Callithrix jacchus: one gene and its partner. The protein of the gene in region 1 interacts with the protein of each later gene in a biochemical or structural test. Links are inferred from orthologs where the notes say so. Each region holds a gene or a part of one and is shown on either strand. Other genes may lie near its edges.

Region 1 (5,569 bases):
AAATAAATAAAACAAAACAAAATAAACTAGTATACACTCTAAACTAGTAGTATGCTCCCCCATACATGAAAACAGAAACACCACCTATAATTATGAGTAATTGTTGTTGTGAATCCAAGTATCTATGTAAAAAGCAAAAACCCCACAGCCACAGTTGTTGTCATCGTTGTCGCAAATTTAATTACTGGGTAGAAATGTCGAGTGCCGCAGCCAAACAGCAGTAGGAGGAGCCTTTCCCATGGCGGAGGGGAAGGAGGGAAACCTAGACTCTATTTCTGGGTCTGCCTCGAGCTTTCTCTGCCGCCTTGGGCAAGTGACTTCAGTTCTTGGTCAATGTCCTGGATTAAGATGGGGCTAACGCCACTGCACTGATTTGCTAGGACAGGTGGTGGAATGTGGGGGGTCGGGGCTGGGAGAGGAGAGGAAGGGCAATATTTCCTAGGAGAAACTGCACTGTAGCTGGGGCAGCTGTGGTGCTGCCAAGCGCAGCGAGTGTGGCAAGCGGACGAACCTCTTGTCTTGTTACCTTGTTTTAAAATTGGAGGTGGAGTGGGATGGATGGTCGATATGCAGCTCTCCCAGCTCTAAGTGCCCAAGTTCTGGGAGCTTGATTGCTTTCACGTCCCTTGGAAACAACTGGCAAAAATGAATTTCACACAGTCTGGTACCAGCTTACCATCTCCGGCACTCTTTGCTGACATTTGCCATTCTTTAAACACAATGACATACGTTTATTAAGGAATCACAGTCCATAACTAAGACAAAGTGAGCTTGAGTTACGTTCCCTAACTCGGTCCACGTTCCTTTAAAACGTCTCAAGTCGCATGTCACTCATCGCGGAGTCGCAGCCTTCCCCGGGGTTCAGGCGTCCGCATTAAGCGCAGGCACAGCGTGGGGATCCCCGCGTGCGGTTTTCCCGCGGCGTCGGAATAGACTGCTTTCGGATTCGCGTTGGGATTGCTTATGCTGCATAATTTCAAAGAAATAAATGTATCAGAATTGCGATGCTTAAGGTCTAATCTATTTAAGCGGGTGGGTCAGCAGCGGGTCAACGGGAAACTTCAAGGTAAATAGTGGCCTCGGCAAAAGGCCGGGTCGCTCACAGCTTCCCCACCGCCTCCCCAGAGCAGACGATTAATTTTTGTGTTTCAGGCAAACCCGCCGCTGCCCGGCCCTGCAGCCTAGCTGGGGAGCGACGGCGGCAGAAACCTGGCGGAGCGAGCGGCGGGCTCGGGTCCCGGCTGGCCGAGGGGCTCGGGCTGGAGTCTGCGGGGCGGTGGAGGGTACTCGCCGCGCTGGGCACAAACTGCTTTCACCCGCAGCGTCTGCACCCGAACCCTCTAGTCCGAGGAAGGGGATTAAAAGTGACAAAGGAAGGAGAAGGGGGGCTCCGTGGAGACACGTCTGGAGGCGTGGAAGGGGCGTCTAGGAGGAGGGGTGAGCACAGCCCCGCAGGGTGCTGGGCGGACGGGTGAAGGGGGCTGGGGGCTCCCGGGCCGGAGCTGGTGGGGGCCCACGGCAACTTGCGCGGGCTGGCTGTGGGGCGAGGGGTCCCGCGCCCCCGGAGGGAGGCGGGAGGCCTGCGGCGGGGGCGCGGGCGGCCGTCGTGCGCTCCGCCCAGAGCGGGGAGCCGGTCGCGCCTCCCCCTGCCGCATGTGCGCGGTGTTGTGTGCCCGGCCCTGCTCCTCCCCCTCCCCTCTCCTCCCCTCTCCTCCCCTTCCCTCGCTCCGTCCCCTCCCCCAGCGGCCCCGAGCGAGCGCCAGCGCCACACAGCCCCGGGCCGCCGCCGCTGAGCGCGCCGAGACGCCGAACAGGTGGCCGGAGGCTGCGGGCGCCGCGGCGGGGAGAGGCGAGGCGAGCCCCGGGCGAAGCGAGGCGAGGCGAGGGCGGCCGGGTCGGGCCCGGCATGCGAGCCGAGCGGTCCCCCGGCGTCACCGCCGCCTGCCCGCTCCCCTAGCCGCCTGCGCGCCCGAGTACCCCGCGGCTCCCCCGCTCCTAGCGTCCCCGACCCGGCAGCTCCGCCTGCGCTCGGCGAGGGGCGCGGGCCTGCCCGCGGCGGCGGCGGCGGCATGAAAGTGACCGTGTGCTTCGGACGGACCCGGGTGGTCGTGCCGTGCGGGGACGGCCACATGAAAGTTTTTAGCCTCATCCAGCAGGCGGTGACCCGCTACCGGAAGGCCATCGCCAAGGTGAGGGGCCGAGGGCACGGGCGGGGAGGGGGGCGGCGGCGGGGACGGCGCCGGGATCAATATGGCGCTTCCTGGAAGGGGGAGGAGAGGCACAGGGAGGCGGGGAAAGGGAAAGTGCGGCCGGGCCGGCCTCGCGGGCGCCCCCCGCCCGGGGCTGCGGGCGCCAAAGTTCTCCGCGCGGGCTGGGGCGCAGCCTCGGGAGCACCGCGCCGCGGCCCCCGCCGCCCCCCGGGAGCTCCGGTCTCGGGAGCGCGGGGCGAGCCGGGCGGCGGCGCACAGGCCAGCCCCGGGCGCCTCCCCGGAGTCTGCAGACCCAGCCAAGCCCCGAAAAGGCGCGCGGGGGGCGGGGGCCGGGAAATCCAGCCCCAGGCCTCTCCCGGCTCCCAGGCCCCGCGGGCACCGACCGGGGACTGGGAACTTCTGGTGTGAGGAGAGTTTCGGGACTGCTCTCCCAACAGAGGCGGGCTGCGAGCTTTCCATCTCCTCTCCCTTTCTCGGGCGGGGGCGGGACCACCGCGGGGGGCTTTTACCTCTGCGTCCCGGGCGGGCCGGGACGGCCGGCCTCGTCCGGGGGCTGCAGGGTTGGGGGAGTCTCTCGCTTGGGGTCCGGGAGGCGTTCCCGGGAGGGCCGCTGCTGGCACTGGCTTGAGAGCATTTACTGTGCTGATCCCCCTTGCTGGGCTCGGTAAAGCACAGCCTCGGCACAGTCGCGGAATGAAAAGTTTTCCTGCGAGGACCTCAGCTCCTACCCATCCCGGGCTGCTTCCATGCGGAGGGCTGTGGAGCCGGGCCTGACTCGGGAGTCGAGTGGATTTCCCTTTTTCCTGCTGGAGTGATAACATTGTCTCCACTTCACTGCATTCCTCTACTATGTGTCAGAAGTGAAAAGACATTTTGTTACATTGTTTTACCGACTGGGTCTGTATTTGACAACAGCCCACGCTGAAGTTTCTCTCAAGCACCCGAGGATATTTCCTTTGTCGTAGAGTCCTGTTTGGTGGGGAGCACATTCTCTTGGGTGCACTGTTTCCTATTTGTTCCCGACAGTGGCCTGGCGCCTGTGGGCTTGGGGGCTGCAGATGACATTGGAAAGTGTCTTGGCCAGCCCTATTGAGCGTACACCGGGTGCTCTGGGTGTCATCTTCAGTGATCTCAGAAATTAAGAAGAAAACGCTTTTTAGACTGCTGTTTTGCTTTCAATATATATTGGAAAAAATAGCATAAATGTGGCCTTTCAAACATAATTTGGGGGAACGTTTAGGAACCTGACTTAAGGCTGGAAGACATTGGCTTTAATAGTTCTGCTATGTTCCTTACAGTTGGTTGAACTCTTTTATTGAAAATCAAATAAAATTAGTGGGAATTGGACACCTGTTTATCTTGCAAAGCTGAGAGGGAAAGAAAACCATCTAAATGGACATTGAGCATTTTTAATGATTGTTTATGTGTGACAGTTTATGCTTTAAATGTTCCAAAAGAATACTCAAATTGTTCAGGTGCTCTGGAACCCAACAAAATAAATCGTGCAAGGAAAGAAATAAAATAATACACACTCTGTACTATGTCTTGGTTCCTGAAAAGGTAGGATGATTGAAGTTTCCTTTCCCTTTACTAATTTTATGTGATTAAAATTGTTTTACCTACTATGTCTCACGTTTCATCATGTACAAAATAGACATAGGCTGAACTGGCTGTTTGACAGTAGTTCAAATGTGGTTGTTTGAGGCATTAACTCGTTCCACAGAAATTCTTAAGCTTTGACTATGTCCAAGGCACTGTTCTGGGTGCTGGACATCTAGGGGACCCACTGGCTGTGAGAGTCTGAGCACGAGGCTGCGAGGTCCTCCAGGTGAAGGGGCTGGTGGTGGGAGAAGAGGTGGCCTCTGGGATGCTGGCGGACTAGATCAGGGCCTACCTGGCCCTTGTTATTAATGATTAGCAGTGGTGGTTTCACAAGGACCTAGGGCATAGAAAAGGGAGTGCAGATTTCTTAAGGGTATCTGGGCAGGTGTCACAAGGAGAAAAGCGGGGCCTATGAGCTGAAGGAAGGGAGGGTGTTAGTGATATGGGAGTTGAGAGGGAGGGTGAGAGGTAGTTCAGGGGTTCCAACACTTACATGCTCTTTAAGTACAACTTAGAGTTCTGTAGGTGAATTTGAACGGGGGCTTTGCAGTAGACCAAGTTCAGTCATTAGATCAGGACTGTTGACCCTCAGATGTTGCTAGAACTCAGGGGTCTTCTGGGCCCCTTTCTCCTTTTTCTTCTGAAATTGCTAGATAATGATTAAGATTAATTTTTAGTCTTTCCCATTCTATATTATGTGTGAGAAAGTGTTAATATGTATTTAACATTTTTTTTTTTTTTGAGACAGAGTTTTGCTCTTGTTACCCAGGCTGGAGTGCAATGGCGCAATCTCGGCTCACCGCAACCTCTGCCTCCTGGGTTCAGGCAATTCTCCTGCCTCAGCCTCCCGAGTAGCCGGGATTACAGGCATGCGCCACCACGCCCAGCTAATTTTTTTGTATTTTTGGTAGAGACGGGGTTTCACCATGTTGACCGGGATGGTATCGATGTCTTGACCTCCATCCACCCGCCTCGGCCTCCCAAAGTGCTGGGATTACAGGCTTGAGCCACCGCGCCCGGCCCTATGTATTTAACATTGTTTTAACTTTTATTCTCTTACCTGTTCCTTACGTACTCCTGTTGCTTAACAGAACAAGACAAATTCTGTGTGGAGAACTGGGTGGCTGGAGAGCTGTGGAGCAGTGTTTGGGTTGCTAGGTGACATGTGGTGTGATGAACTCCCATCTGGTGGGGAAACGTGGGCAGATCATGTTTATGGCTTTGTATAATAACCAACCAAGCCAAAATAAAAAATGAAAAGAGACAGGTCCCAACTCCCAAATCACCAAGGCTTTCTCTGCAGTAAACATTTTCTGGTGTGGTGGGGCTAATTTTCTGGCATTACATCTGAGCTGTTTTCTCCTCAGGTTACACAAATCAATTTTTCTGGATAGTGAAGTGCCATGATTTAATACTAGACATGTCCTCAGTGAGTAGTAGATATTTGAAGGCTTATGCTTAGTCATATGTGACATTTCTTTTTTCTTCTCATGAAAGATGTTTTTATGGTTGTGATTACTGGTGGGTGGGACCAACTGTTCATCTGCATCCACCCATCCACATTGGGAGCCTCTCGGAGGACAGTGTGGTGCTAGACATGGGGAACAGCGTGACATGGACCATTCTCACCAGGATGAGAGGATGGACTGTGCCTGCATCCATCTGTTCTTTTTTTTTTTTTTTTTTTGAGTTGGAGTTTTGCTTTTGTTTCCCAGGCTGGAGTGTAATGGTGCGATCTCAGCTCACCACAATATCCG
Region 2 (5,436 bases), on another chromosome or scaffold:
GTCAGTGGAGGACTGCATTTTAAATATAATTGAATTTAAATTCATATTGCTGGCCAGGTGTGGTGGCGCACACCTGTAATCCCAGCACTTTGGGAGTTGGAGGCAGGTGGATCACCTGAGGTCAGAAGTTGACCAGCCTGGCCAACATGGTGAGACCCTATCTCTACTAAAAATACAAAAATTAGCCACCGTGGTGGTGCACACCTCTAGTCCCAACTACTCAGGAGGCTGAAGCAGGAGAATCACTTGAACCTGGGAGGCAGAGACTGCAGTGAGCCAAGATTGCACCACTGCACTCCAGCCTGGGTGGCAAAGTGAGACTCTGTCTCAAATTAAAAACAAAACAAAACAAAAAACTTATATACCTACTTGGATCTAGACACCACGGTTCTAAAATATGGGTCTTTTCTTATCTCATTGCTTTCAAAAAGTTCATTAGCTGTAGGATGAGGTCTAGACAGTAGTATGAATCACCTTCATAATTTAACCTCCTCTGTATTTTCTACCATCACCATCTACCTTACCATCCCATTCCCACATATACTGTAATACGGTAGAACCTTGCTTTTTCTAAGCCAGCCATAATTTTTTTATCTTCCAGCTCTTGATCCTGCTGTTTCCTCTATGTTTGACCTACTCTTTGAGGTTTATTAAAGAAAGCTGTGCCCCCACTCCCAACAGAAGGAACATCCTCTTATCATGGACCTCAGACAAGCCATTTAGCATCTCTCAGCCCAGTTTTCTCATCTGTAAAGTGGGAATGATAACAGTTCCTCTTTTACAGAGCTCTTGGGGGAATTAGATATTGCATTATTTAGATTCCATCACTAAGAAAGCCTGCAATAAAAATAGCTGTTATTATTTTCTGTCCTCCTGTCACATTTATCATGTGGTATCAGGCGCCTTTCCAGATAAGACTCTCTCCCCTCAAGACTGTGAGCTTGTTAGCAAGAAAGCCTCGATCTTGTTCATGTTTGTCCTTCAGCATCTGGCACATTGTTGCCATTTGACAAATGCCTTGGCTGGGTGGCAAACAAGTAACTTAGCCAGTTACTCACATAGGATTGCAGAGAATTTTTTGTAAGTATGACATTTTTGTGTATATTTTTAGGGAGGAGTAAAAGAGTAGCAAGAATTAGAAAAAAAGAAGATGCCAACAACTTTTCTTTTTAAGCATCAAATGTTTCTCATTACTGCCCAGAAAAACTGGCATAAGCTGTTGTTAAATCTGTGTTCCTTCTCCTCGCTTGACTGGAGTTTGAGTTTTAACATTTTGCCATTCTGACTTTCCTTTCTGGGCCCCCTGGGTCCTCTCCTCCCACCCCCTCCCTAGGTACTAAGTTTTCATCATTGTCACCACGGCAACAGCAAGGATGCCCCATTCCTCACAGCTCCGCACAGCTAAACTCTGGTGGCCTTTGTCCACTGAGCTAGATGAATTCTTTATATGTACGTCACTAAATCAACTATGTTCTATACAGAACTTCATCCATTATTCAATCATAAGAAAAAAAAATGATGTGTACCAATTTCTTCTTCTGGGAATGGCCTTTTTCCAGACCTGCCAATACTCTTGAATGAACCAGACATTTTTGGTCCCTAGGAACAAATATAAAAATTGCCAGTGTACGTGCATCCAATGTAAGTGCGGTGCAATTTTAAAGCACGCAACAGAGCATTTATAATGGGTTTCCCTTTTAAAAGCACAGTAGACCAAAAATAAACCTGACAAAGGGCAGCTGTAGAGTTTTAACACGTGGAAAACTCCACAAGCAGCAGTTATGTAACTTGAAAGAAACATGATAAATATTTCACACCATTAGATGAACTTCCAACTCTGACACTGAAAAAAAAAAAAAAGCAAAGAACACGAAATAAACGCACCTCAAATCTCCAAGGAGCAAAAAGCTTAAACTGAAAAGGGACCGAGGCTGTGCTAAAATCTGAGACCTGACTTCCAGCACTAGTCTTGATTGCTTTTTTTTTGTCTCGAGTCCGAGGCGGAGCCCGCGAACCCCATCTCCTCAGAGCGCCACCCCCTCGGCTTCTCCCGTTGGGCAGAAATTTTCCGATTTTCTCCACCCCTGGGCTGAAAAGCCAGAAAGAAGTTCTGAGCCAAGGAGGGGAAGAAAGGAGTTGGGGCAAAGCAGGAGGCGTTTCCTCACCCGCACACACCCCCGTCCCCCAGACACCCAACCCCCCACCCCGCCCCCCAGCCTGCCGCGCCTCCCGCCCCCGGCTCCCCGCCCTAGGGACAGCTGGCAGCCCCGCGCGGACCAGACACAAAGCCGATCAATCCCGGAGGCGTGGGGGCGGAGGGACGACCCGCGGCCGCTTTCCCGGGCGCTGCTCTCCTCCTGCTGCCCCCTCGCTAGGACCCGGCGGACGCTTCGCCTGGTTTTCACGCCCTCAACCCCCCACTCCCACACCCCCAGAAAAGGACAGACCCTCATCCCTGGGCTGGAGGACCTGCCTCTTGGCAGCCAGCTGAGAAGGCGCCCGGGGGGGCGGGAAACTAACATCCCATCTAGAGCCGTCCCTCTCCTTCCTCCCCTCCCCGACTCTCTGCTCCTCTCCCACCCCAGAAGTTCGAGGGCCCCCGGCCTCCTGCGCGCCCGCCGCCGAGACCCTCGACGTCGTCTGAGCAGCCGGCTCCGGCACCGCGAAGATGGCGAGGAGCCGCCACCGCCTCCTTCTGCTGCTGCTGCGCTACCTGGTGGTCGCCCTGGGCTGTAAGTTGCTGGGGTTCCTCGACCCTTGCACCCACTCCTGCCGGGACCATCCTGCCCCCAGCCTCCAGCCCCCCACGGGGCGCTCGCGCGCGGTGTCTGGGCCGCTCCGGGCCGAGGTCGCCGCGGGGCGCTGACTTTGCTCCCCAGGGCGCCGGAGGGCGGACGCGAGGGTCAGGAGCGCGAGGTCGTGGGCTTCTTGTAAATTGTGTCTGATTTTGTCAGTTCTAGATACAGAAAATTAAGGGTCCCCACTAGCGGGTTCTCATCTGTTTGCAAAGTTGGGGTAAGTTTTCAGACAGAGGGACGTGATTCGAATGCAAAACTCACTACCCACTCGTAAGATGCTAAGATCCCAAGAAAGATGGCATCACCGGGAGGCGGGCGCCGGCCGCTCTGTGAGTCCAGGGAGGGGACAGCGTCCGCGTGGTCTGGACTCTCTAGCGTCTCAGCCGAGCCGGCGTTAAACAGAGCACTTGGGGGCGGGGGTGGGGAGTTCGTGGCTGCTGAGCCAGAATTACTTTTATCCTCTCCACCTGCACATCTACATTCAGTTAGAGAAGTCTGGTCTGGGGACTCTAGCCAGCTGCTGTGTCCTCAGGGGACGTCCGGCGGGACGATTGTTAGAAAGATGCAGAAGCCACATGATCCAGTAGCTGGGGAGACATCCCAAAGCCAATTTCACCGGATGATTTTAAACAGGATTTTCACGGATTCTGGGCTCATGAGATTTAAAACCCTGGGAACATTGACGTTATTTTGTTTTCTTCGTGTTAACTTTTTAGGAAAATGGGAGAAATTACAATAGACCTTAAGCAATGCAGTTCTACTTTTGCTTTTTCTTTTTTCTCCCACTATTTTTGGCTGGCTCGCTTTTCTTTCTTTCTTTTTCTTTCTTTCTTTCTTTTTTCTTTCTTTTGTAAAATGATTTATTGTAGCTATTCACATTCTGGTGATGTAATACTTACAATAATTAACCTGCGGGACGAGTGCCTAGTGTCTACTATCACAATACGATGATCTTTTCTCACATTCTGGCTGCCCAAGTGATCGTCGCATAGCTCAAGTGATGTGAGCCACGTCCCTTTGTGGAGGAGGAAGGTGCACATTGTCTCCGGGAAGGGACATGTGCTGACCAATATTATATAAAGTCAAACCAGAAAGGCAGAGTTTCACAATGAAACCCTTGTGCAATTTTGAAATATCAACTGATATACGGAACACACAGAGAAAAAAATGCGCTCCTGCTAAAAGGCAACAGAGAGGTAGGCTGGAGAAATTGTAACAGAACATCTGAGAAAGTTATGTATTCTGCTGAAATCCTAAATTCAAATAGAAAAGAGTGTGCCTTTTAGTGTAGAATTGTCACTAATTAGAAACAGAAAATCGTTTTGCTGTGCTATTCCTATTGAGTCACCAACATAGAAAAAATACACCCTAATTTTGAAATTGTAGTGTAGAAACAACCAAGAAGCAAACAAAAGAATAGATGAATGGGCCTGAGTGAGCTCTTCAGGCTTTAGGTAAATATAACACATTGGCTCTGCTAACCTTGATTCCTAGAGGGGATAAATTTGAAAGTGTTGTGGGAACTTTTCTATATTGTTTCTGAGATACCAAAAGATCTGGCATTGCAAGAGTGTTTTCTTTTCTTTGCGTGTGGGTTTTTTTTTTTTTTTTAACGTTTCAAACAATTTTAGAGTAGTTTGGTTTTAAAGAAAAATTCCAAAGCTGGTATAGAGAGTTCCCACATACCCCACACCCACTTTCCCCTATTGTTAATGTCTTTCATTAGTATGGTACATTTCATTCAGATTTCCTCCATTCTTACCTAATGCCTTTTCTATTCCAGATATGGAATAGCCATCCAGGCTATCACATTACATTTATTTGTCATGGTTCCTTAGGCTCCTCTTGGCTGTAGCAGTTTCTCAGGCTTCCCTTGTTTTCTCTTACTATGACAGGTTTGAGGAGTATTGGTCAAGTATCTGGTAGAACGACCATCAGTTGATGTTTCTCTGATATTTTTCTCATGACTAGACTGGGGTTATAGGTTTTTTGGAGGAAGATCAGAAAATGGTAAGGGGCCTAGGTAAAGTCACATTTTCATCACATCATCTCCAGGGAACATACTGTACACATGATTTGTTGCTGTTGATGTGAACCTTGATCACCTGTAATCACACTCATCATGTAGTGCATACCAGTTTTCTCCACAGATCACCCACCCCTTTTTCTTCATTTCCATGCTAGATTTTTTGGAAGGAACTCACTACATGCAACCCACACCTCTTCAGGAAGGAGAGTTATGCTCCATCTCCTCAAAGGTGAAGTGTCTTCATAAATTATTTGGAGCTCTTCTGCATGGGAGATGTGTCTCTCCCTTCCCCTCACTTATTTATTTAATCATTTACTTTTCCATCAGTATGGGCTCATGAGTATTCGCTTTATACTTTGGGTTATAATCCAATACTATTTTATTTAGTAAATACTTAGTGGATTTCTTATGCTGTTATTACATATTCATCTTTTTAATATTCTTCCCAGTTGTAACAGACCACTCTTTTGGCCACTCCTATTATGTACAATGTCATGCTTACTCCCTTCTTTCCTTTTTTTCCTGCTGTTTATCAACATTTTTTAATATCTTTCTTAATAGTCTGGAGGATTGCTTTTTGTTGCTGTTCTTTTTATTTGAACTATGATG

Evidence for each region.
Region 2: the proteins of PARD3 (region 1) and JAM2 form a complex in vitro, tested with the Homo sapiens proteins (2 studies listed by BioGRID and IntAct, with this or other methods). The link is inferred for Callithrix jacchus from reciprocal best matches to the Homo sapiens genes PARD3 and JAM2.

Annotation. Positions count from the first base shown.
Region 1 is NC_133508.1:34,437,169-34,442,737, reverse strand, and holds the start of PARD3 (partitioning defective 3 homolog), read left to right. Parts: upstream 1-1,741; 5' UTR 1,742-2,069; coding exon 2,070-2,189; intron 2,190-2,719; exon of another isoform or gene 2,720-2,998; intron 2,999-5,569. UniProt on the Homo sapiens protein: Adapter protein involved in asymmetrical cell division and cell polarization processes. Seems to play a central role in the formation of epithelial tight junctions. Targets the phosphatase PTEN to cell junctions.
Region 2 is NC_133522.1:31,847,646-31,853,081, forward strand, and holds the start of JAM2 (junctional adhesion molecule B), read left to right. Parts: upstream 1-2,251; 5' UTR 2,252-2,668; coding exon 2,669-2,732; intron 2,733-5,436. UniProt on the Homo sapiens protein: Junctional adhesion protein that mediates heterotypic cell-cell interactions with its cognate receptor JAM3 to regulate different cellular processes. Plays a role in homing and mobilization of hematopoietic stem and progenitor cells within the bone marrow.